Linked DNA regions of Arabidopsis thaliana. The protein of the gene in region 1 interacts with the protein of each later gene in a pairwise test. Each region holds a gene or a part of one and is shown in the gene's direction. Other genes may lie near its edges. The genes, in order: VAMP726, KAT1 and KAT3.

What was found.
Region 2: the proteins of VAMP726 (region 1) and KAT1 interact in a two-hybrid assay, tested with the Arabidopsis thaliana proteins (one study listed by BioGRID).
Region 3: the proteins of VAMP726 (region 1) and KAT3 interact in a two-hybrid assay, tested with the Arabidopsis thaliana proteins (one study listed by BioGRID).

The regions. Positions count from the first base shown.
Region 1 is NC_003070.9:1,331,861-1,337,660, forward strand, and holds VAMP726 (vesicle-associated membrane protein 726), read left to right. Parts: upstream 1-2,738; 5' UTR 2,739-2,899; coding exon 2,900-3,089; intron 3,090-3,471; coding exon 3,472-3,613; intron 3,614-3,702; coding exon 3,703-3,823; intron 3,824-3,907; coding exon 3,908-3,970; intron 3,971-4,063; coding exon 4,064-4,210; 3' UTR 4,211-4,617; exon of another isoform or gene 4,618-4,696; 3' UTR 4,697-4,703; downstream 4,704-5,800. Other genes in the region: VAMP721 (vesicle-associated membrane protein 721), read right to left, coding at 1-140, 277-339, 529-649, 729-870, 1,377-1,566; AT1G04770 (Tetratricopeptide repeat (TPR)-like superfamily protein), read right to left, coding at 4,704-5,126, 5,227-5,382, 5,484-5,696, 5,788-5,800. UniProt on the Arabidopsis thaliana protein: Involved in the targeting and/or fusion of transport vesicles to their target membrane.
Region 2 is NC_003076.8:18,742,501-18,749,946, reverse strand, and holds KAT1 (1), read left to right. Parts: upstream 1-2,540; 5' UTR 2,541-3,385; coding exon 3,386-3,564; intron 3,565-3,719; coding exon 3,720-3,935; intron 3,936-4,019; coding exon 4,020-4,175; intron 4,176-4,270; coding exon 4,271-4,328; intron 4,329-4,482; coding exon 4,483-4,800; intron 4,801-4,956; coding exon 4,957-5,196; intron 5,197-5,278; coding exon 5,279-5,377; intron 5,378-5,452; coding exon 5,453-5,671; intron 5,672-5,746; coding exon 5,747-6,295; 3' UTR 6,296-6,437; downstream 6,438-7,446. Other genes in the region: AT5G46230 (hypothetical protein (Protein of unknown function, DUF538)), read left to right, coding at 6,923-7,354. UniProt on the Arabidopsis thaliana protein: Highly selective inward-rectifying potassium channel. This voltage-gated channel could mediate long-term potassium influx into guard cells leading to stomatal opening.
Region 3 is NC_003075.7:15,750,082-15,757,425, reverse strand, and holds KAT3 (potassium channel protein), read left to right. Parts: upstream 1-2,378; 5' UTR 2,379-2,628; coding exon 2,629-2,888; intron 2,889-3,114; coding exon 3,115-3,330; intron 3,331-3,423; coding exon 3,424-3,585; intron 3,586-3,693; coding exon 3,694-3,751; intron 3,752-3,853; coding exon 3,854-4,171; intron 4,172-4,263; coding exon 4,264-4,503; intron 4,504-4,588; coding exon 4,589-4,687; intron 4,688-4,831; coding exon 4,832-4,864; intron 4,865-4,961; coding exon 4,962-5,150; intron 5,151-5,238; coding exon 5,239-5,322; intron 5,323-5,413; coding exon 5,414-5,492; intron 5,493-5,589; coding exon 5,590-5,736; intron 5,737-5,840; coding exon 5,841-5,944; 3' UTR 5,945-6,155; downstream 6,156-7,344. Other genes in the region: AME3 (Protein kinase superfamily protein), read right to left, coding at 16-64, 161-314, 407-433, 663-783, 941-1,030; AT4G32640 (Sec23/Sec24 protein transport family protein), read right to left, coding at 7,002-7,108, 7,336-7,344. UniProt on the Arabidopsis thaliana protein: Probable modulatory (alpha) subunit of inward-rectifying potassium channels. Could mediate potassium uptake from the soil solution by plant roots in association with AKT1.

The DNA.
Region 1 (5,800 bases):
CACTTAAACCCATGGCAAACTGAGAGCACGATGATGAGAATCAGTGCGATAATGATGGCGAGCACTATGAGTTTTATCTTCATGTTCTGAAGCCACATCTTTCTTCTCATCTGCGTTCCTGTTGTTCTGAAATCTTGTGCCTGTGGCAGTTTGAGTTCAGTTAGACACAAGATATGGTAATAGGATGAGTCAGCTATGAACTCAAAAAGCATGTTCATCTTTGTGTGTGAGTGTAGGCAAATAGATGCAGGAGATAAGGGTATGAGAGAGTCTAACCTGTGAGCGAAGATTTTCGGTTTTGTCCACCAAAAGCTCAATTTTCTCACCACGGTCAAGAACCTGCAAATAATGAGTCGCATATGTAAGCGGTGTTACATTGGTAAACTGGACATTTCCCGTAAGATGTAATGCATTGAATTATTAGTAATTGATTTCACAGTAACTTAGTATGACTAGATGAGCTCTTTCAGATGGGTCAACCATAGATGTAAATATATACATTGAGGACAGAAAGGGTCAGATTCAAACCTTCTCAATGTTTTCCATCATTACACCCTTAACTTCTGACACTTGCGCCTTCACCTTAGCAAGCTTGCTAATCTCATCAGGATGATCCATGCAATACTGCATATGCTCTTTCAGTTTAGAGCTTCAAAGTTACCAAAAAGAGTCAGTCCACGAATATAAAAGAGAAGATCATCCAAATAGAAGAGATAATGAAAAAGTACCCAAACTCCTTATTCAAGCTGTTTGCTTGAGCAGTTGCAGCCTTTCCACCACCATATCGCTTGTTAAAATCTTCTTTTACTCTTTCCAAAAAGGACATGGGAATTTGCCTCCCAGCAGAATCAACCGCAACAACACAATAGGCTGTACAACAGGAACAAAATCAATCTCCTTGTCTTCCCTTACGGGATAATCAGGTGACATTGATTTAATATGAAATTGATATGGCTACAACAACTAAAGGATAGTCACAAAAGCTTACAATAAGACCCCAGATTTTCATTGAAAAATGAAGCCAGCCAAAACCCATGACCTAGGAAACTATACGCAAATAAAGCAACCAGTAAAAACCCTGTCTCAGATCAATGTTGGTGTTCTTCCACATAGTATCAACCAAAGCTACCACGGATTCTGTCCAAATCTGAGTGATTATACAGGTAAGACTCTACAGAGATTTATTGCGTTTAATAAATATAGATCTAACCCTAAAAGCTTGGTTCATGCGGTTCCTCAGTGAAATCAGACTACTCAGGATGCACAAATCCATACGAATCGATAGGTTAGGCAAATAAACCTAGAAACAAATCGAGGTAAGCACCGAATGGTGTAAGATTAAAACCTATGCATAGATCAAACGAAAAGTGACTTACTGAATCCATCTTCGACAAGGTAATTGAAGGTATGACCGTCGCAGTTGTAGGTGAACTTGTTGTTCGAAGACGGAAGCTTCTGGAGGCACTGAGCAGCGATTGAGGTGAAATTACCTTTGAAATCAGTGAACTCAACGAGGATCACCGTGCCGCGAGCTACGAAACTGTAGATCAACGATTGTTGCGCCATTTTTTCTTTACCTTAAATCTCCGATCCAATCGACCGTCTGATCAGAGAATTTTTTGGGCGGTCGCGGAAAAAAACTACAGATCTAGAAGACTATGAAAGAACAAAACGAGGACTAAAGTGGACATGGGAGAAGAAAAAGTTGAAAAGCGGGCAAGGGTAAAGTTGTCATTTAAGGTAGTCAGATTGGGTCAAAAATAGTATAAAACCTTGAATTTAAGGACTAAAAAAAAACAATTTCAAAACGGAGAGATCAAACAAATGTCGAGAAAGTTGGACCCGCCCGGATCCAGCCAAAAAGCTCGTGGACTCTGCCGATGGCACAAATTAGTAATTACCAACTTTAGGACAAGTTCAGGTCCCATGGTCGAAGAGAGTCTGTCTCTGTCTTCCTCAAAATATCTTTTTTTCCAAATTCATCATTGATCAGTGATTCCAGTATTAGCTCAGTTACGAACAAAAGGCTTAAACATAAAAACAAATGTTGTAATTAACCAAATTTCTTAATTCTTAATGGACGGGGGGAGCTCATAGTCATAGTATCTTGTTACAGCAACAAAATTCGAACTTCTACCGTTATCTCTTGTCATCTACAATTGCTCTGCATTGTTTAGAACCTGCTAATTAATTTGTTTAACGTGTTCCTAAAGATTTTGATCAACAATCAAATAATTGAAATTTAGGTAGTTAGGTTGTGGTTAGAATAGAAGGTTAGTGAATTGGAATGAAAGAAAAGGTTTGCAACATTATTTTAATTTTTTTGGTAGGAAGGTTTGCAACATTATCAATTGAACGTTCTTTTAAGTAACATAACATATAATTTATAGAAAATTTAACAACTCAAATATCCCTTACACATCGCAATTTTCTTTATAAAAAATCAATATATAATATATATATATATATATATATTTGTTTTTTAAAATGCTCATTGATAAACATTTCACATTTGAATTGAAAAACGAGCCACCGTGGTGTAAAAACATGAAGATACTATTATTAATTAGACGTGAATTATTTACCAAAATAAAGTTTATTAAGGCAATTTTCGACTATACAAATGATGAATTTTTCTTTTTATTTACTTTTTATATTTAAAAATTCAAAATTTGAACGTTACCAAAGGGAAAATAATGTCTCTGTTACTCGCGCAAATCCAGCGCTCTCATATAGTTTCTCTTCTCCGATCTCTGCGTCCTGCTTTCTCCATCGCTACCCCTCGTTCCCTTGTGTATTTTTACATCGCTTACTAATCTCTCTCATCAATTCGATCGGATTTTTGTGGTGTTCTTAGGTTTCGTTTTTTTATCTTTCTCTCATCTGGATAAAAGGAAGAATGGGACAACAATCGTTGATCTACAGCTTCGTCGCTCGCGGTACGGTGATCCTCGCCGAGTATACCGAGTTCAAGGGCAATTTCACCTCCGTCGCCGCTCAGTGTCTCCAGAAACTTCCGTCCTCGAACAACAAATTTACCTACAATTGCGACGGTCACACTTTCAATTATCTCGCTGATAATGGCTTCAGTAAGTCTCTATCTCCCGATCTGTGTCGATTTTGCTCTGTATTTCTCTGTTTATGCCTTGGTTCATCTGTTTTCTTATGAATGCTTAGTTTCGAAATCAAATGTTCGAGAACAGTGTAGCTTTGAATTTCGTAGGATATTCGTTGCTCTCGATTCTTGTGGCATTGTGTTATATTCAGATTTTCTTCTAATCAATGCCATGTCTTGATTGGATATGCAATCTGTTGTTTTCGTTCTGATTTTAATCAGCTTTATGCATGGCTTCTTTGGAATGTTTATTGTGAAGATTTTTATGTTTGGAAAGCTTTGGTTGTCCAATGCACGAATTTGCTTTAGTTGGAATGTGACAATAAGATTTCTCATTTCCCTCTGTTGTTATGCAGCCTATTGTGTTGTTGTTATTGAATCTGCTGGGAGGCAGATACCAATGGCTTTCTTGGAGAGAGTCAAGGAGGATTTCAACAAGAGATACGGTGGTGGAAAAGCTTCCACTGCTAAAGCCAACAGCTTGAACAAAGAATTCGGGTACTTTTAACATTTTTAGTCAGAGCATTTCTTTTCAATTCCATCTTTGTGGATGTGTGTTTTAAATGGTTTTGTTGTAATGAATGTAGGTCTAAATTGAAGGAGCACATGCAGTACTGTGCGGATCATCCTGAGGAGATTAGCAAACTTTCCAAAGTTAAGGCTCAGGTGACTGAAGTGAAGGGTGTTATGATGGAGAATATTGAGAAGGTTAGACTAAATTATCCATGTTTTTCATCGACAACTCCTCACCTGTAAGCTGAATGTGTTTTCTGCAATTCAATCCTATGGCAGGTCCTTGACCGTGGAGAGAAAATCGAGCTATTAGTAGACAAAACTGAGAACCTTCGCTCACAGGTTAATAATAACCACATCTCAAATACAGTATAAGAGACACTACATCACTATTATCTAGTGGTAACATGCTCTTCTTCTTCTGTTTGTTAATAGGCACAAGATTTTAGAACACAAGGAACAAAGATGAAAAGAAAGTTGTGGTTCGAAAACATGAAGATAAAGCTCATAGTCTTTGGCATCATTGTCGCTTTGATTCTCATCATCATTTTGTCGGTTTGCCATGGCTTCAAGTGTACTTAAGAACTCGATTCCGGTGGATCAGACCACCCACATAGCTACTAAGCTAATTAGAACCATCCCGGTATAGTTATCCCCTTTTATCCTTCTCTTTTGTATTTTTCCTTCTTCTTTTATTTAGGCAAACAAAAATTGACGTGGTACCCAGAATGATCCTTAGGAAATCAACTGTTTGGAAGAGAGATTTAAGCTTTTTCTTGTGTTTACTTATTATATAGGTTAGGCCTTTATGCTCTTGTAATCTACAAGTCTAATGATCGGTTTTATATTCCTCCAACCAACTTGACACATTATCTGATAGTGTTATATCTATGGATATAACATCAACTACTTTTGGAATTACTTTTGGAATGAGATCATTTGACATTGCGGTAATAACAGACAACGACACCCGAAAAAGCTTACAAGAGGTAAACTCTATTCACTCACTACATTCTTCTACCCAAAAAGGTTCCTATTCAGTATTCAAACATCAATCCAAACACACAGAGAATCATCAACAAGCCAATTGATCTCTCAGTGGTAAGATCTCTTCGAAAATCGGAAGTCTTCTTGTCCTATAAGGCCTCCTCCATTCCTTCACAAACTCATCAAGTCCTTCGACAACCGCTATCTCATCTATACCAACTTCACATTCCACAGACACAGAAGCCGCTGCTTCTTCTTCCTGTGGCTTTAGCTCACTCAATAGCTCTTGAACCCGAGCCATCAACCTCGGATCACCAGACCCTTCTTTGTTCTCCATTAGTACATCACGAAAGAGAATCGACCTCGCCTCATCGTGCTTCCCTTGCTTGATGAGACATGTGCATAAATTGCAAGCCTTGTTTGCATCTGGCTCTATCAATTGAGCTTTCCGATACACAGCTTCAGCTGCTGTATAGTCCATTAGTTGCATATAAGCCCATCCCAAGTTCCCCTGTAACACCACATTCATTCAAATTCCATCAGTTCACTGATCAAGAGACTTGAGAAATCTAATCACAACTAAAGACTAGTCGTGAGATTATTAGTCTTACCAAGATCCTAGAGGTTTCCTTCTCGACGGTGACCTGAAACTTCTTGCCATGAGATCTCGCAGTCTTTGTTGGTTTGCCATTGAATGCTTCTCCTTGATATATCATCCAAAGCTTTTGCTTCAATAACTCAACTTGCTCTTCTATTCTCCCACATTTCTGTTCAACAAAATTCGGAATCCCAAGTTTGTCAATTTCACTATCTAATAAAACGGTAACCGAGAGAAACAAGAGAATGGTCTCGGTCAGAGTTTAGTTACCTTATATAGATCGATGAGGACATTGTCTAATGACTCTTGAGCTTGTCTTGAACAAAGATCTCTAAAGGATTGAATAGCGTCAATGGCTTCTTCAGCTCTGTTCTGTTGTTTCATTAACAAGGCCATGTCTTTAAGAGCACTATCAACTCTATCTCTCGCTTTAATCGCTATCCAAAACAACTCTATCGCTGCTTCTGCATCTTTCTCCACCAACTGAACCAAACATCAAATCCAAAATCTCAGTAAAAATCAATATAAACTCGATTCCTTTGGATAAAGTCACACATATGTATATTAAATTTACCTGAACATGCTTC
Region 2 (7,446 bases), on another chromosome or scaffold:
CACAAACAAAATCACTTATGCAGTGTCTATGACTCGTTTATCATGTTGTTCTTGTACCGTTGATATTGTGGAAAATTATCTTGTTTTTATTTGTGTTAAATCAGATCTTTCTCCTCTTAGTAGCATGAGAAAGAGGATCAACCCGGGACGATATTCCATCCATAACGACTATAATTACAGTTAATGTTAAACTGTTTTTATTTATAAGACACAATTATAATACATCCATTAAGATTTTTAAAGTTTTCATAACAAAAAAAATAAAAAATATAATAATTAGACGCATTTTGATAATAGAAAAACTCTAAATTTTCAATAAAAGTCTCAACTGCCTTTACAGTCTAATATGATCATGAGAAGGGTTAAGAATAGAATAGTTGACTTTTAACTTAATGGAAGATTTACTGGAAAATGTCTCTATCTGTTATCTAGTATTGGACCCGTTAATAATGTGCAACGTATAATGTAGGGTACTAAATCCCAAGAAAAATCTAGATTTTCTAGATAACATATTTAACCAGAAAAGAAAAAAAATTGTAGTGGAATAGACCAGCATGGTTCAATCTGGTCGTTACTAAAACTACCAATCCAAAACCTACCAACTATAATACAATATGACTACAAATACGGTTTTGAAGATTAATTCGCGGCTAACCATCAAAAAATAATGTTTGACGATGGCTCATGGTTCCACTCGCCAACCATATACAGTTTATATTCTCTTTTGAGACCTCAAAATCAAGTTACTAGAACTCGATGATCTTACATGAATATAAAATGAAAATCAGCTCCAATGTAGTTTGAAGAAGGTATAAAACAGGTTTAGACCAACCGATTCCAAGACTTATGATGGCCCACAACAACAAAAATAACTAACAAATTTTTAGACCCTACACTACTCTTAGCATGCATGTGACAGCTTAAACTTAAATTTAAACAGTTAACATGAACAACCCCACTTGCACTAGGAAGACAGCAAATAGCAAACTTAAAGCAGTTTACGATTTCTGGTCTTTTAAGGCAAGGTTTAGTAACCCAGTAATTCCTTTTGATTTGAAATATATGAATAACCGAAATTAAAAAACAAAAAAAAAATCACAAAATACTAAAATTTGAAAGCCGAAATAATTCATTTTTCAATAGTTATAATCATCTTTTAAAAAGTAAGTTAGATCATAAAACCTAATATAAAACTTTTATTGGCAAAACTAATTAATCACGAGAAAATAATATTAAAGTTAGCTCATGTTATGTTTATATTAGGAATCTCTCATTTACTTTATTTTGTTTTGTTTTGTTTCTATAATGATATTAGGATTCAGGAAGACAATAAACAAAATATCAACAAGGAATCATGAAAGATACATTCGAACGGGCTCAGATCGACGCAGAAACAAAAAGCTTTGGAATGATTTAATAATACAAATTTGGCGGAAAGGTTTGAAGAATTTATACTTGGCATTCTATACTAGCGAACGAAAACAAAAGTTTAGTCAAATATTTAGGATTACCAAAAAATCAATATTCGTATACAAATGTGTTTTATTATAAACCATGATTTTTCATAACTTTATTCTTAGTTGTTTCAATTTGTTTTCTCTCATTTCTCGTTCCTATTGTAGAAAAAATTCCTGATTCTTTTTTCTTTTCTTTTGTTTTCCCATGTCAATTATAACCGCATTAGAAAAGGTTAGCACATGTTCATTTGCACAGAATGTAGTCAATGTACAATTCATCTATAATTTATCACCTTTTTGTTAAAAATATTTATAGCCATGTTATATATATTTTATCATGTTGTGTTTTAAACTCTAGATTTGTTCTTTCACAGTTTATGGGATTTATCATTTCATATATTTCCTCCTATGAGTAAGATGTCATTTTTAAATTCTTAATTAAGAATTTAGAAATCAAGTTTATTATTTTGTTAAAATTTATAAATTACGTATTTTTCCTTTATTAGTGAGATTAAGATATAAAGAGTCTAGCACACTAGAGAAATGAAAACATACATATATCTAGAAAGGGTTTATAAGAAATTAGTAAATGGAATCAGAACATGAAGGAGAAGGGAGGGGCCACCATACCGACGGGAATGAGAAGTATGGGACGGACAAGAAATCAAGTGTACACACATGAAAAAACCCACCACGTGAAGATCTCCTATTGGTGTGTCTTCTCCTAAGTACTAAGTATAAACCAAAGTCAAAACACAACAAAGACATATTGCTTGCGAGCCAGCGAGTGTGTCCGAGTGAGAAGAGAGTTTGGGACTTCACTGTTTAGAGAGCCTCATTCGCTACCTAGATTCGGTTTATCCACGTGGAGAGTTCACGTAGCTTCTATAATAATAATACATTATATAAGCTGTTTCGGTAAAATAATCTTAGAGTTTCACTTCCCATGCAAAAAGATTAAATGGACTACTATATTTTCTATATGAGTGTTTTGGAAATAATCTTCCAAGTTTATGGCTATTTAGTAAAACTCAATCCAAAATGAGAACAATAACTTTTTTTTTTTTTTTTTTGCAATGAGTACAATAAACTTATGATTGGTTTTGGGGACTAGAAAATAAAATAGAGACATATACTTTAAGAATAGTTGATGAGAAAATAAAACTTTTTTCGAAGAAAGAAAAAAAAATATACTCTGGCCCCTTACATATTCTGTCAAATGCCATTTTATTTTCTTTATTTTGCTTGGTCCATTTCTGGATTCCTGAAATGAACACACCATAATTTTCATGCCCATTTTTGTCCTCCCATTAACACTTACCAAACACCAAACGTACCTTCCTTCCTTTATATGTGTCTCTATGTCTATATATCACTCCCACCTTCAAATGCTAGGAAAGTGGACATCACACCATAGTCTGATAGTCATGAATCTCATCAAGTAGAAACCTCCAAAGAAACAGATTGCGTTTCCTCTTCTTCTTCCTCCTCTTTCGAATCTTATATTTTCGTGTCAAAAAAGAAACAAAATATGATGATATCTACCGCAAAAGCTCAATGTTTGCCACTTAAATTCTGTCTCATCTCTCAAGATTTTTGATCATCTCACACTTACTCCGTTCCGCATTTTACGCCTTTTCTTCACCATTGTTGCTTCTCGAATCGAAACCATATTGGTTTTGCAGCATTAATGGTGCACTGAGTCTTCTTAAAGCCGTTAACCTTTCCCTGCCAAATTCTCAACCAAAAAGAAAAAAAGATAACAAATGGGTCACAACAAGTTGCCATAAAGGTCCCAACAGAAGAAGAAAAGAGAAGTTTCCCCGTGTTGCTTTGTCACAAGCTTCATCACTATTTATAACTACCTTGCCAAGAAGAAAGCCTAAAAAGGTATAACAGTTTCTTTGTCTTTAGAGATCATCAAAAAGATGTCGATCTCTTGGACTCGAAATTTCTTCGAAAGATTCTGCGTCGAGGAATACAATATAGACACCATAAAACAGAGTAGTTTCCTCTCTGCCGATCTTCTACCATCTCTTGGAGCCAGGATCAACCAATCTACTAAGCTCCGCAAACACATAATCTCTCCTTTTAATCCACGTTACAGGTAATTTTCTCATCTACTAAACTCTGTTTTAAGTACTCTGTTTTCAACTATGTTTTCAACTATTCAGGTTATAAGTAGTTTTAACTACTCTGTTTTTACTCACGTTATAAGTATATTTAAAGACTCTGTTTTCAATCCTCTGTTTGTTGAAACAGAGCGTGGGAGATGTGGCTAGTATTACTAGTTATTTACTCAGCTTGGATTTGCCCATTTCAATTTGCTTTCATCACCTATAAAAAAGACGCGATTTTCATCATCGACAACATTGTTAATGGCTTCTTCGCCATTGATATTATTCTCACCTTCTTCGTCGCTTATCTCGATAGCCACTCCTATCTTCTAGTTGACAGTCCTAAGAAAATAGCAATAAGGTGAGAAACCTTTTTTCTTAACTTGAAACCTTTTATAAGTGAATGAGAATCTCAAAGTATGTTTTGAAATTGTAACATTTTCAGGTACCTTTCGACGTGGTTCGCTTTCGATGTTTGTTCCACAGCACCATTTCAGCCACTAAGCCTCTTGTTTAACTACAACGGAAGCGAACTAGGATTCAGAATTCTTAGCATGCTCAGGTTATGGCGTCTCCGGCGAGTTAGCTCGCTATTTGCAAGGTTTGCTTCTATGCTAACTAAGAGACCATACTCTTCTTAGGGTTTAACTAAGAAAGTGCTTACTCAAGTCTAACTAACTCTTACCTTTGCTTCAGGCTTGAGAAAGATATCCGTTTCAACTATTTCTGGATACGTTGCACAAAACTCATTTCGGTTAGTTCCAAAACAGAGCAAAACTAATCTCACTTATAATAAAGCATTTTAAGCTTAGGGCTGTCCATTTAGGTGATCTATTCTTAGGGTTTATTTGTCTTTTAAATGGACACCATATTAAAGCTAGTGACTTACACGTGCTTGTTGATCTCAGGTCACTTTGTTCGCTATACATTGTGCTGGATGTTTCAACTACCTGATTGCAGATAGATATCCTAATCCAAGAAAGACATGGATTGGAGCTGTGTATCCAAATTTCAAAGAAGCAAGTCTATGGAATAGATATGTGACTGCTCTTTACTGGTCCATTACGACATTAACGACCACGGGATATGGAGATTTTCATGCTGAGAACCCAAGAGAAATGCTTTTTGACATTTTCTTCATGATGTTCAACCTCGGTTTGACAGCTTACCTCATTGGAAATATGACCAACCTCGTCGTTCATTGGACTAGCCGAACCAGAACCTTTGTAAGTTTGATCACTTTCTTTTAGTCTAGGCATGTTCATTTCGGATAAAGGTTCGGGTAATAGCGTGGGGTTTACGTACTTTTGAGTATTTTAAGTTGACTAAAATAATATTGAGTATTACTAATCTGTAATGCTTTATTGCTTTGTGTTAAACAGAGGGATTCAGTGAGAGCTGCTTCAGAGTTTGCTTCAAGAAATCAACTCCCACATGACATACAAGATCAAATGTTATCACACATTTGCTTAAAGTTCAAAACAGAGGGCTTGAAACAACAAGAGACCTTGAACAATCTGCCAAAAGCAATCCGGTCAAGCATTGCAAACTATTTATTCTTCCCCATTGTTCACAACATTTACCTCTTTCAAGGAGTTTCTCGTAACTTCCTCTTTCAATTGGTAAAATTGTATTCTCTAACCTTTTTTCTTAACGTTTAATATGTAAGAGGTGACCAACTCCATGTACCTTTTCATGTTCAAGGTTTCAGATATAGACGCTGAGTATTTCCCACCAAAAGAAGATATAATTCTACAAAACGAAGCTCCTACTGATCTTTACATTCTGGTGTCAGGAGCAGTGGTGAGTGAAATATATCGGTTATATGTAAATATGTGAATAACAGTTAGGAATCTTGTAACATTGTGTATTGTACAGGACTTCACTGTCTACGTTGATGGACATGATCAGTTTCAAGGGAAAGCAGTAATTGGAGAAACATTTGGAGAGGTTGGAGTTTTATACTATAGACCACAACCATTCACAGTAAGAACAACCGAGCTATCTCAAATACTGCGGATAAGCAGAACATCGCTGATGAGTGCGATGCATGCTCATGCTGACGATGGACGAGTCATCATGAACAATCTCTTCATGGTATGTGAGTTATTATAGAAATGTTTCTATAGTTAAAACAAACTCTAAACTCATTTTTGGCTATAAAACTTTCAGAAACTTAGAGGGCAACAGTCAATAGCAATAGATGATTCGAATACTAGTGGTCACGAAAACAGAGATTTCAAAAGCATGGGATGGGAAGAGTGGAGAGATTCAAGAAAAGATGGCTATGGTTTAGATGTTACGAATCCGACTTCCGACACTGCTCTAATGGATGCGATTCACAAGGAAGATACTGAAATGGTTAAGAAGATACTTAAGGAACAAAAGATAGAGAGAGCCAAAGTGGAAAGATCAAGTAGTGAAACCGCTGGAAGAAGTTACGCTAACGATTCATCGAAAAAAGATCCATATTGCAGCTCAAGCAACCAAATCATCAAGCCATGCAAACGAGAAGAAAAGAGAGTTACCATCCACATGATGTCTGAGAGCAAGAACGGGAAGTTGATACTCTTACCATCATCCATAGAAGAGCTTCTAAGACTTGCAAGTGAGAAGTTTGGAGGCTGCAACTTCACAAAGATCACCAATGCGGACAACGCTGAGATTGATGATTTAGATGTCATTTGGGATGGTGATCATTTGTATTTTTCATCAAATTGAGTTTGAAAACTCGACTTCATTTATAGAGCATGTATATCTGCAGATAATGTATTTTTACCCGGTTTCATAGAAAAGTCTAGATTATCAAAAGCAGAGTATACAAAACTGACATTAATTGACACAAAAACACAATCTTATTTCACAGCTTGACTATGATACATTGATACCGTTCTGTTTGAACACAAAACATTATTCTACACGAGTCTTCTGCTTTGAACTTGTTTCACATGATAAATCAAGAAAATTTTATTTTTCTCTATTATCAATAAAGATTTTAAGAAATTTACCTATTAAAAAGACGAAATTTTTTTTTCAGAAAATTAAGCGTATATTCAGTTTGATTTATTTTAAATTTAAACACTTCAACATGTTTGTAATAAAAAAAAATCAAAATAAGAAATTCTCGAATGTATTTTATATTCAATCAACGAATAAAATAAATTATTCCACGAACATGAACTGCATGCGTCCCACCTCATTTTATACGAAATTTCCATGTTACCCTCTCTAATACTATTCTCCTTCCTCTTCCACAGACCCAATTTCGTCATTCAATTCCAAAACTCACACCTCTATATAAATCCAGCAAAAAGTCCCCAAAAAGTCACCACCACAAATCTCATCGAAATGTCGTCTCAAGAAACGAAATCAGATCAAAGAGAAGGAGCAGAGATCTGCAATGGCGAATCAAACTGCAAACAGAAAGCCAAAGAGATTTTATCAACCATGAATCTACCCAAAGGTCTTCTTCCTCTAGACAACATGACAGAGATCGGTCACAACAAATCAACCGGTTATGTCTGGATCAAGATCAAGAACAAGGTTCAACATCGGTTTAAAGCCATTGGACGAAACGTATCTTACGATTCGGAGGTTACTGCGATCCTTGAGAATCGTCGGATGAGTCAGCTCACGGGAATCAAGAGCAAAGAGATTTTGATTTGGGTTACGATCTCTGAGATCTTTGTTAATCATCAAGATCCGACTCAAATCACTTTTGCTAATCCTACGGGACTATCACGTACTTTCCCCGTCACTGCTTTTGAAGAAGACGAATGATTCATTTGTCAACGCTCACCATCATGATACTTTGCTTAGCTAAATTATCTTTTGTTTTTTCCTTATAATTCCTTTTGTTTAGCTAAGTTCTA
Region 3 (7,344 bases), on another chromosome or scaffold:
AGTTGGGATACTTACAATGCAAATATGATTTCGGTAATCAAACCAGTTCTTCATCTGTACACAGCTGCAAGGACAAAGCAGAAATGAAGAAACTGAGCAATGATATACACCTCTGAAGGAAACGATGTCATCAACTAAAGTCTAGAAGATAAATAAATACCGTGTGCGGCCTTTATCACTCTTAACAAGTTTCTGAAGTACATCAATTTCAATCATTGCTGCATCCCGGTATTTCTTAATGCTTCGAATTATCTTTATTGCCACATATTCTTTTGTATCACGATCCCAACATTCCAAAACCCGACCAAATGTGCCTACAACACCAGCAAGTTCACTGAAATGGCACGATTTGATTCACATAAACATTTTTTTTATCTCGAACACACCATGCCACTTGACAGCTAACCTTCACCCATCTTGCTAAGTATTTTATCTGTCAAAAGTCAAAACAGAACACACAATAGCGTAAGTTAAGCAATTAAAAATGTTCAGGAAGGATTCTCATCCCAATGAAACGAAAGCGAAAAAAGATTATCCCTAAGGCAATGGTGCCAAACAAAACAAAGAGTTACTAGCAACAATACACATATAGAAGCAACATAGGTAAATATCTTAGCTCACATAGAATAGAAAGTTAGCAACTTTATCCATCAAAAACTCACATCTAGGAGTGAGATTGTCCCTCAAACTGAAAACATAATGACCATCACGATCATCGTCCCTTAATGGTGGTGACAAAATCCTCCCATCGCTTCCATGTCCTTTAATCACAGCCCTTTTAGCCTATCACAAAAAAGTCAAAATTCATTCATTGTCAGCATATCAAAATCTCACCAAAGAAACATAAATGCTCGGTCTTTCCTCCACATTCTAAACCCTAATTCGAAGTTCTAAATGTCAAAGATTAATTAAAAAAAGAAGAAGAAGAAAGAGGAGCAACCTCTGGTTCAGCTGGGGCCTCGTCCCAGGTCATACGAGGACGTTTCCTGACTCGTTCTTTATCCATACTCTCGAATCCGTTAGCTATCATCACCGACGCGGAAAATCGATCACCGACACATCCAGAACGGAATCTGATGCCAATCTGCAGCTAAAAGAGGGAAAATTTCTACCAGAAACTCTTTACGTAGATGTAATCACAAGGCGGCGAATCGGGGAGAAGGTGATAATCTCCGAAAATGGTGAAAACAGAGGAATTGCTAGGGTTTGGAACTAGAGAGAGTGCAAGAGAAAGACAACTCCCAATAATTTTACCGGCCAAATCCCTTGGGGTCGAACCGCGACGACATCCACCAATTGCATTTTTTTTGCACTTTCCACCGAAAAAATTGGGTCTACACGATCACCCGGAATGTTTCGCCCACCCGGCCCAAATGAAATGTGGTGAGATCTTCTTATAATCTTGGCCCAAATTTCCATCATGGATCTTAAACGTTCGTTTCATTGTTTCTTGGATTTTTTTTCATTAACTGGTCCATCTCAAAATGGGCTTCCATAAAAATGGGCTTTTTTACAAAAGGGTTTTGTTTCATTAATTGATTTTCGTGTTTTTTTATCCGTAACAATTATGCTTTCGTTTCCTAATTTATACGAGCAAACGTAAAAATGTATAGTATTTGACTATTTGGTTTTACGTATCAACAATCAACAACATACTGTACATCAGTACATACACAATTTTTTTTTAACATACACAAACTTACTTTATGTACAAATGAACTATTAAGAAATGGCTTTAGCCTTGTTATTGCATGCATCTTCTTAATTTGTGTATGTGAAATTCTTCATAGGAGCTAATTAAGGGACGAAGACAAAGTGTATCCCCCTTCATGTATTACCTAAACGTATCTTAGAATTTCAAAACATTGTTTTCCTTAGAATTTTTTAAAAAAATTGTAAACATGCACATCCAACACTGGAAAGTGGAAAGAAGTATATATATATGATATGTTATCTCAAAAAAACTGAAATGATTGTATTAAAAACATACTAAATTCTGACTGATGATAGATATTGATACGTAATTCATTTGTTTATTATTGTTCGTTTTGTTTTCAACACTACTATTCCTGTCACGGTCTCATTTAATAACAACAACAAAAAAGACGTCAAGATTTGACTTTTGAGTTCCTCAATTTTTTCAACTCCAGTATTTAAACAGCTAATTATTACATAATTTATCGTAAGAAAAAAAAAAAAAAAAACCTTATCCCCCTGATATTGTAGATCTCGATTGTAATCACTACACCTGATGCCACATTAAATACACACAGAGACGTAAATAAGAGTCAAAAAAGTCGATGAAGCCTTCTGCATATATAACAACAAAGTTGAATATATAAAGAGTAAAATTCATCATACTACAATCTTGAAAAATTATAATTTATTAGATGGTTAAGTAAATTTGTTTTATAGTATTGTTATATTCTTTTTTTCCAAAAAATATAGGGAAAACAAAAACCAGTAAAAAAAAAAGTCAACTTAATTTGCTCACCACCTTCTTGATCATCTAAACACCTCTTTAATAATTCAAAACTAAAAAAAAAAGGTATAAATGAAAGAGACAAAAGAGGGAAGTATATATCATCAAGCTTGAAGAAGAGAGAGAAGAAGAAGAAGGAAAAAAGAATGTCTACGACGACTACTGAGGCGAGATCACCGTTGCCGTTGTTGTTGAGAAGAGGAAGGTCTTCGACGGCGTTATCGGCGTCGACGGCGGAAGCAAGATCGCCGTTATCGATACTGCAGTTCAGAAGAAGATCGAGCAAAGATGTGAGGAACATAACGTCAGTTTCGAGCAGTCTCTTGCCTGCTTTTGGGACTTTCATCGAAGATGATAATCCTTCTTCCAAACCTTTCATCGTTCTTCACTTTGATCGTCGTTACAGGTTCATTTCTCACTAACTAAACAACGAAGAAATGTTTTTTGGTTATCAAACAATAAATAGTGATTTACAGATTTCATAACTTTTCTGTTTCTATTAGTCCATAAATTAATGATCAAATGATTCGTTCATTAATTTTCATATTTTTACGTCTTAAAATTGTTATTTCTTATTAATATTCATATATCTTAATTTTTTTTTAATCTTTCCATATAAAAATTAATGGTAGGTTGTGGGAATTGTTTTTGGTGATATTGGTTGGGTATTCGGCGTGGGCATCTTTGTTCGAGTTGGCTTTCGAGAAAGCTGCCGAAGGAGCGTTATTGACCATTGATCTCGTCGTTGACTTCTTCTTCGCCGTTGATATCATCCTCACCTTTTTTGTTTCCTACTTGGATAATACTACTTACCTCAATGTCACCGACCACAAGCTCATCGCCAAACGGTAACAAATCAATTTGTTTTTATATGTTAAAAAAATAACATAAGTAAAATGAATAAGTTAGAATTGAATTATATATGTTGTGCATTATTATAGGTACTTGAAGAGCGTGGCTTTTGTGATGGACGTAGCATCAACGTTACCCATTCAATTCATTTATAAAACTATTACCGGAGATGTCGGACGAGGCCAAGCTTTCGGCTTCCTTAATTTACTCCGCCTCTGGCGTCTCCGTCGTGTAGCCGAACTCTTTAAAAGGTTTTTTCTTTACTACTTTCTATATAATATGCAATATTGAAATCCACTTATCATATAGTACATATGTGTGTGTCTATTTTACACTTCCTTTCTTTCTTTTTTTAACAGACTAGAGAAAGACGCACATTTCAACTATTTCGTGATCCGAGTCATCAAACTTCTATGTGTAAGTTTTACTTATATTGAATTATCTATATGTGGTCCATACAATCACTAAATTGGCTATGTCAATCTATGACTTTTATTCAAATTGTGAAATTTGATTCAGGTAACGATATTTTGGATACATTTGGCGGGTTGCATTTTATACTGGATAGCCTACCATTATCCAAGGCCTACGGATACATGGATAGGATCGCAAGTTGAGGATTTTAAGGAAAGAAGTGTATGGTTAGGGTACACTTACTCAATGTACTGGTCCATTGTCACACTCACTACCGTGGGTTACGGTGATTTGCATGCAGTTAATAGCCGTGAGAAGACATTCAACATGTTCTACATGCTTTTCAACATTGGCCTCACTTCTTATATCATCGGTATCATGACCAATCTAGTTGTCCATGGCGCTCTTCGTACATTCGCCATGGTATATAATCATTCATTGCTTAAACCCGAAAAGATTGTTTACTCATTCATTTACTCTACCAGTCGTACAATAATCATTCTTCTGCTGAACAGAGGAGTGCGATCAATGATATATTGCGATACACAAGCAAGAACAGGTTACCGGATACAATGAGGGAACAGATGCTTGCACATATGCAGCTCAAGTTCAAGACCGCGGAGTTAAGGCAAGAAGAGGTTCTTCAAGACTTACCTAAGGCCATAAGATCAAGCATTAACCAACATCTATTCCGCTCCATCATCGAAGAAGCTTATCTTTTTAAAGGATTCCCCGAAGGCCTCCTCGTCCAGCTGGTGATCGTCCATCAACAATTCCATTTTCTTTTGTTCCTTGTTAAACAAGGCAGTGGTAATTCATTCTTCTATGTTGTTGTTGTAGGTTTCGCAAATACAAGCAGAATATTTTCCGCCGAAAATGGAGATAATCTTGCAGAATGAGATTCCAACGGATTTCTACGTAATTGTATCTGGAGGAGTGGTATGATATATCTATATATCCTCTACATACTCATTCATTTATCCCGAAAAGATTGTTTACTCATTCATTTATCCCGAAAAGATTGTTTACTCATTCTTATTTATATTTGACTTCAACTGATTAAAAGAAAATTTGCAATTTTAGGATATAATTGCTTCCAAGGGTGTGAGTGAACAGGTAAAACTCTGAACAAATTTCAGTTATAAGAAAAACACATTTCATAAACTTAAAAGATTGAGATAGAGTATGAAGAGTTGGTTGATAAATGGTGAAGGTATTAGCGAAGTTAGGTCCCGGAAGTATGGCAGGAGAGATAGGAGTAGTGTTCAACATTCCTCAGCCTTTCACAGTGAGGACACGTCGACTTTCACAAGTTATCAGAATTGGTCATCATAAGTTCAAAGAAATGGTGCAGTCTGATAATGACGTCGACGCCAAAATGATCATTGCCAATTTCATGACAGTAAGTTTACATTCACAAAACGGTAGTAACATCAATATAGTGTTTATATTGTAACACTAATAATTAATGTTTCTTTCTTTAATTTCAGTATCTTAAGGGATTGAATGATGAGTTAAAAAAAGAAATTCCTTTTCTTAGAGATTTATTAGATGACGCAGATGCTCAGGTTCAGGTATATATACCTTCTTATAACAAATAATGCATAGTCCTCTCGTCAAAATTGTCAAGTGAGTTTGAGATGAAAACGCATTTTTTGGTGACAGGAAACAGTTCAGTCAGAGGAAACACCACAAAGTAACGATGAGGAAATAGTTACGGTCTCAAGACATGAAAATGGACAGAGTAAGAAGACATTTTTTTTTGTTGAAGACAGAGTAAAATGAACATGTTTTTTTGTATGTATAGAGACCCTTTTTTTAACAATGACATTTGATTGCAGTAGAAGAGAGAAGAAGAGAGGGAGTTCCAAAAAGAGTGATAATTCATGGACAAGCTCCTCCTAATCAAGATAACAAAAACAATGGTGATTCCAACGGTAGACTTATCATTTTACCTGACTCTATCCAACTTCTATTCGACTTAGCTGGTCAGTTTCACTCTTATGATGTCACTTCTCTTTACTTATACATTGAAAGTTTTTTAAAATTTAATATACTTTATATTGAACTCATAAAACTATGGTGGATGCAGAGAAGAAGTTGGGGAAACGAGGAAGCACGATTGCAATGGCAGATGGTGCACATGTTGAACAAATTGATGCTCTTCGAGAAAACGATCATTTATATATTTTCTAATTCGTTTATAAATATATATATTCACAATTATCACTTCCCACACAAATAATGATACAAAAAAAACTATATTTTTGTTAGCGTAAGGTGCTTATGAAAAGATGCAAAGTCAGATATATGAAAATATAAGGTGAAGATCGAATTCCCAATTCCACTATTATGAACTTGCTTCTTATCTTTTTGACATCTTGAACTTAAAATTATGTTTGATTGAAGATTGCATTAGCATACAACAAAAGTACCATTGTTGCATACATTTTAGCATTTTCTCTTATTACTGAAACAATTCTCTTTAAAACATTTGCATCAACGGCTACTTATAAAGTAACTAAAAACCATAAAAGCAGTGAACACTGGAGAAGATTGACCTATCAATAATGGTGATGATCATTCTCAAATAGGGGGTCTCCTGTTCGATATTCGTCATTGGATGGCAAAACTATCCAACGTCACTCTTCTCCACGTCAATCGTGAACGAAATAGTGCTGCAGATAAGATGGCTCAATATGTTTTGTCTACTACTACTCTGTATCAGTCTTTTATTGTTCCTCCTCGTTTCTTACTCTCTTATTTGTATCAACCTTATACAATCTAATAAAGTTGTAGTAGTAGTTGTTAAAAAAAAAAGAAAATAACAATTATTTCATATTTTACACTGCATTGTACATCAAAGACTTTTATTTGTATATTCGGTAACAACCAACAAAAAAAAAAGTATTTGAAAGGAAATTCTTAGTTCGAAACTCAAATAACACAAAAAAATAACCATACAAAAAAGATTAGCTAAGGACTCTTTTGTATAATTCTTTATAGTAAAAAAAAAAAAAAAGACAAAACAACAGTGGAGACTATTATCTAAGTACAACTTTAAAATGTCGTGAAGCTTCTCAAGTTGAAGTAGTCTATGCTCTCTTTTCCTTCAAACAAGAAGAAAACTTCTCAAGCAGCCATAAGACCGATGCCCTTTCCCCTTCTGCTATGCTTTTCTACCGCAAATTCCGAACATGACACAGATGCAGATGGGAGGAAACTTCTGTAAGGACTCCTAGAAAACAGAGGATCAGTTCATTTTTAGCTGGATTTGGCGATGGACTTGCACGAGAAACTCCACATACGACGGGCCGCTTGCTGTCCTGTCCTCTACCATATACGAGAGAAACAACATTCCTGAAAAGTACCAAATATCATAAGAACAAATCAGCATCGACAAGGTTCTATGAAATCAACACCGAGTAAGCAAAAATAAATGTTCATTTCGCAAAATAATATTAGATGACAGGATCTAAGCTGTTACTATTAACGTAAGACTGATAATGTCGCAAACAAGAAAAGATAAATAACATGTATCCTTTGTAGTTAGTGCTAAGATTTGGAATCCGTCCATTATTACTCACCTGATGGTT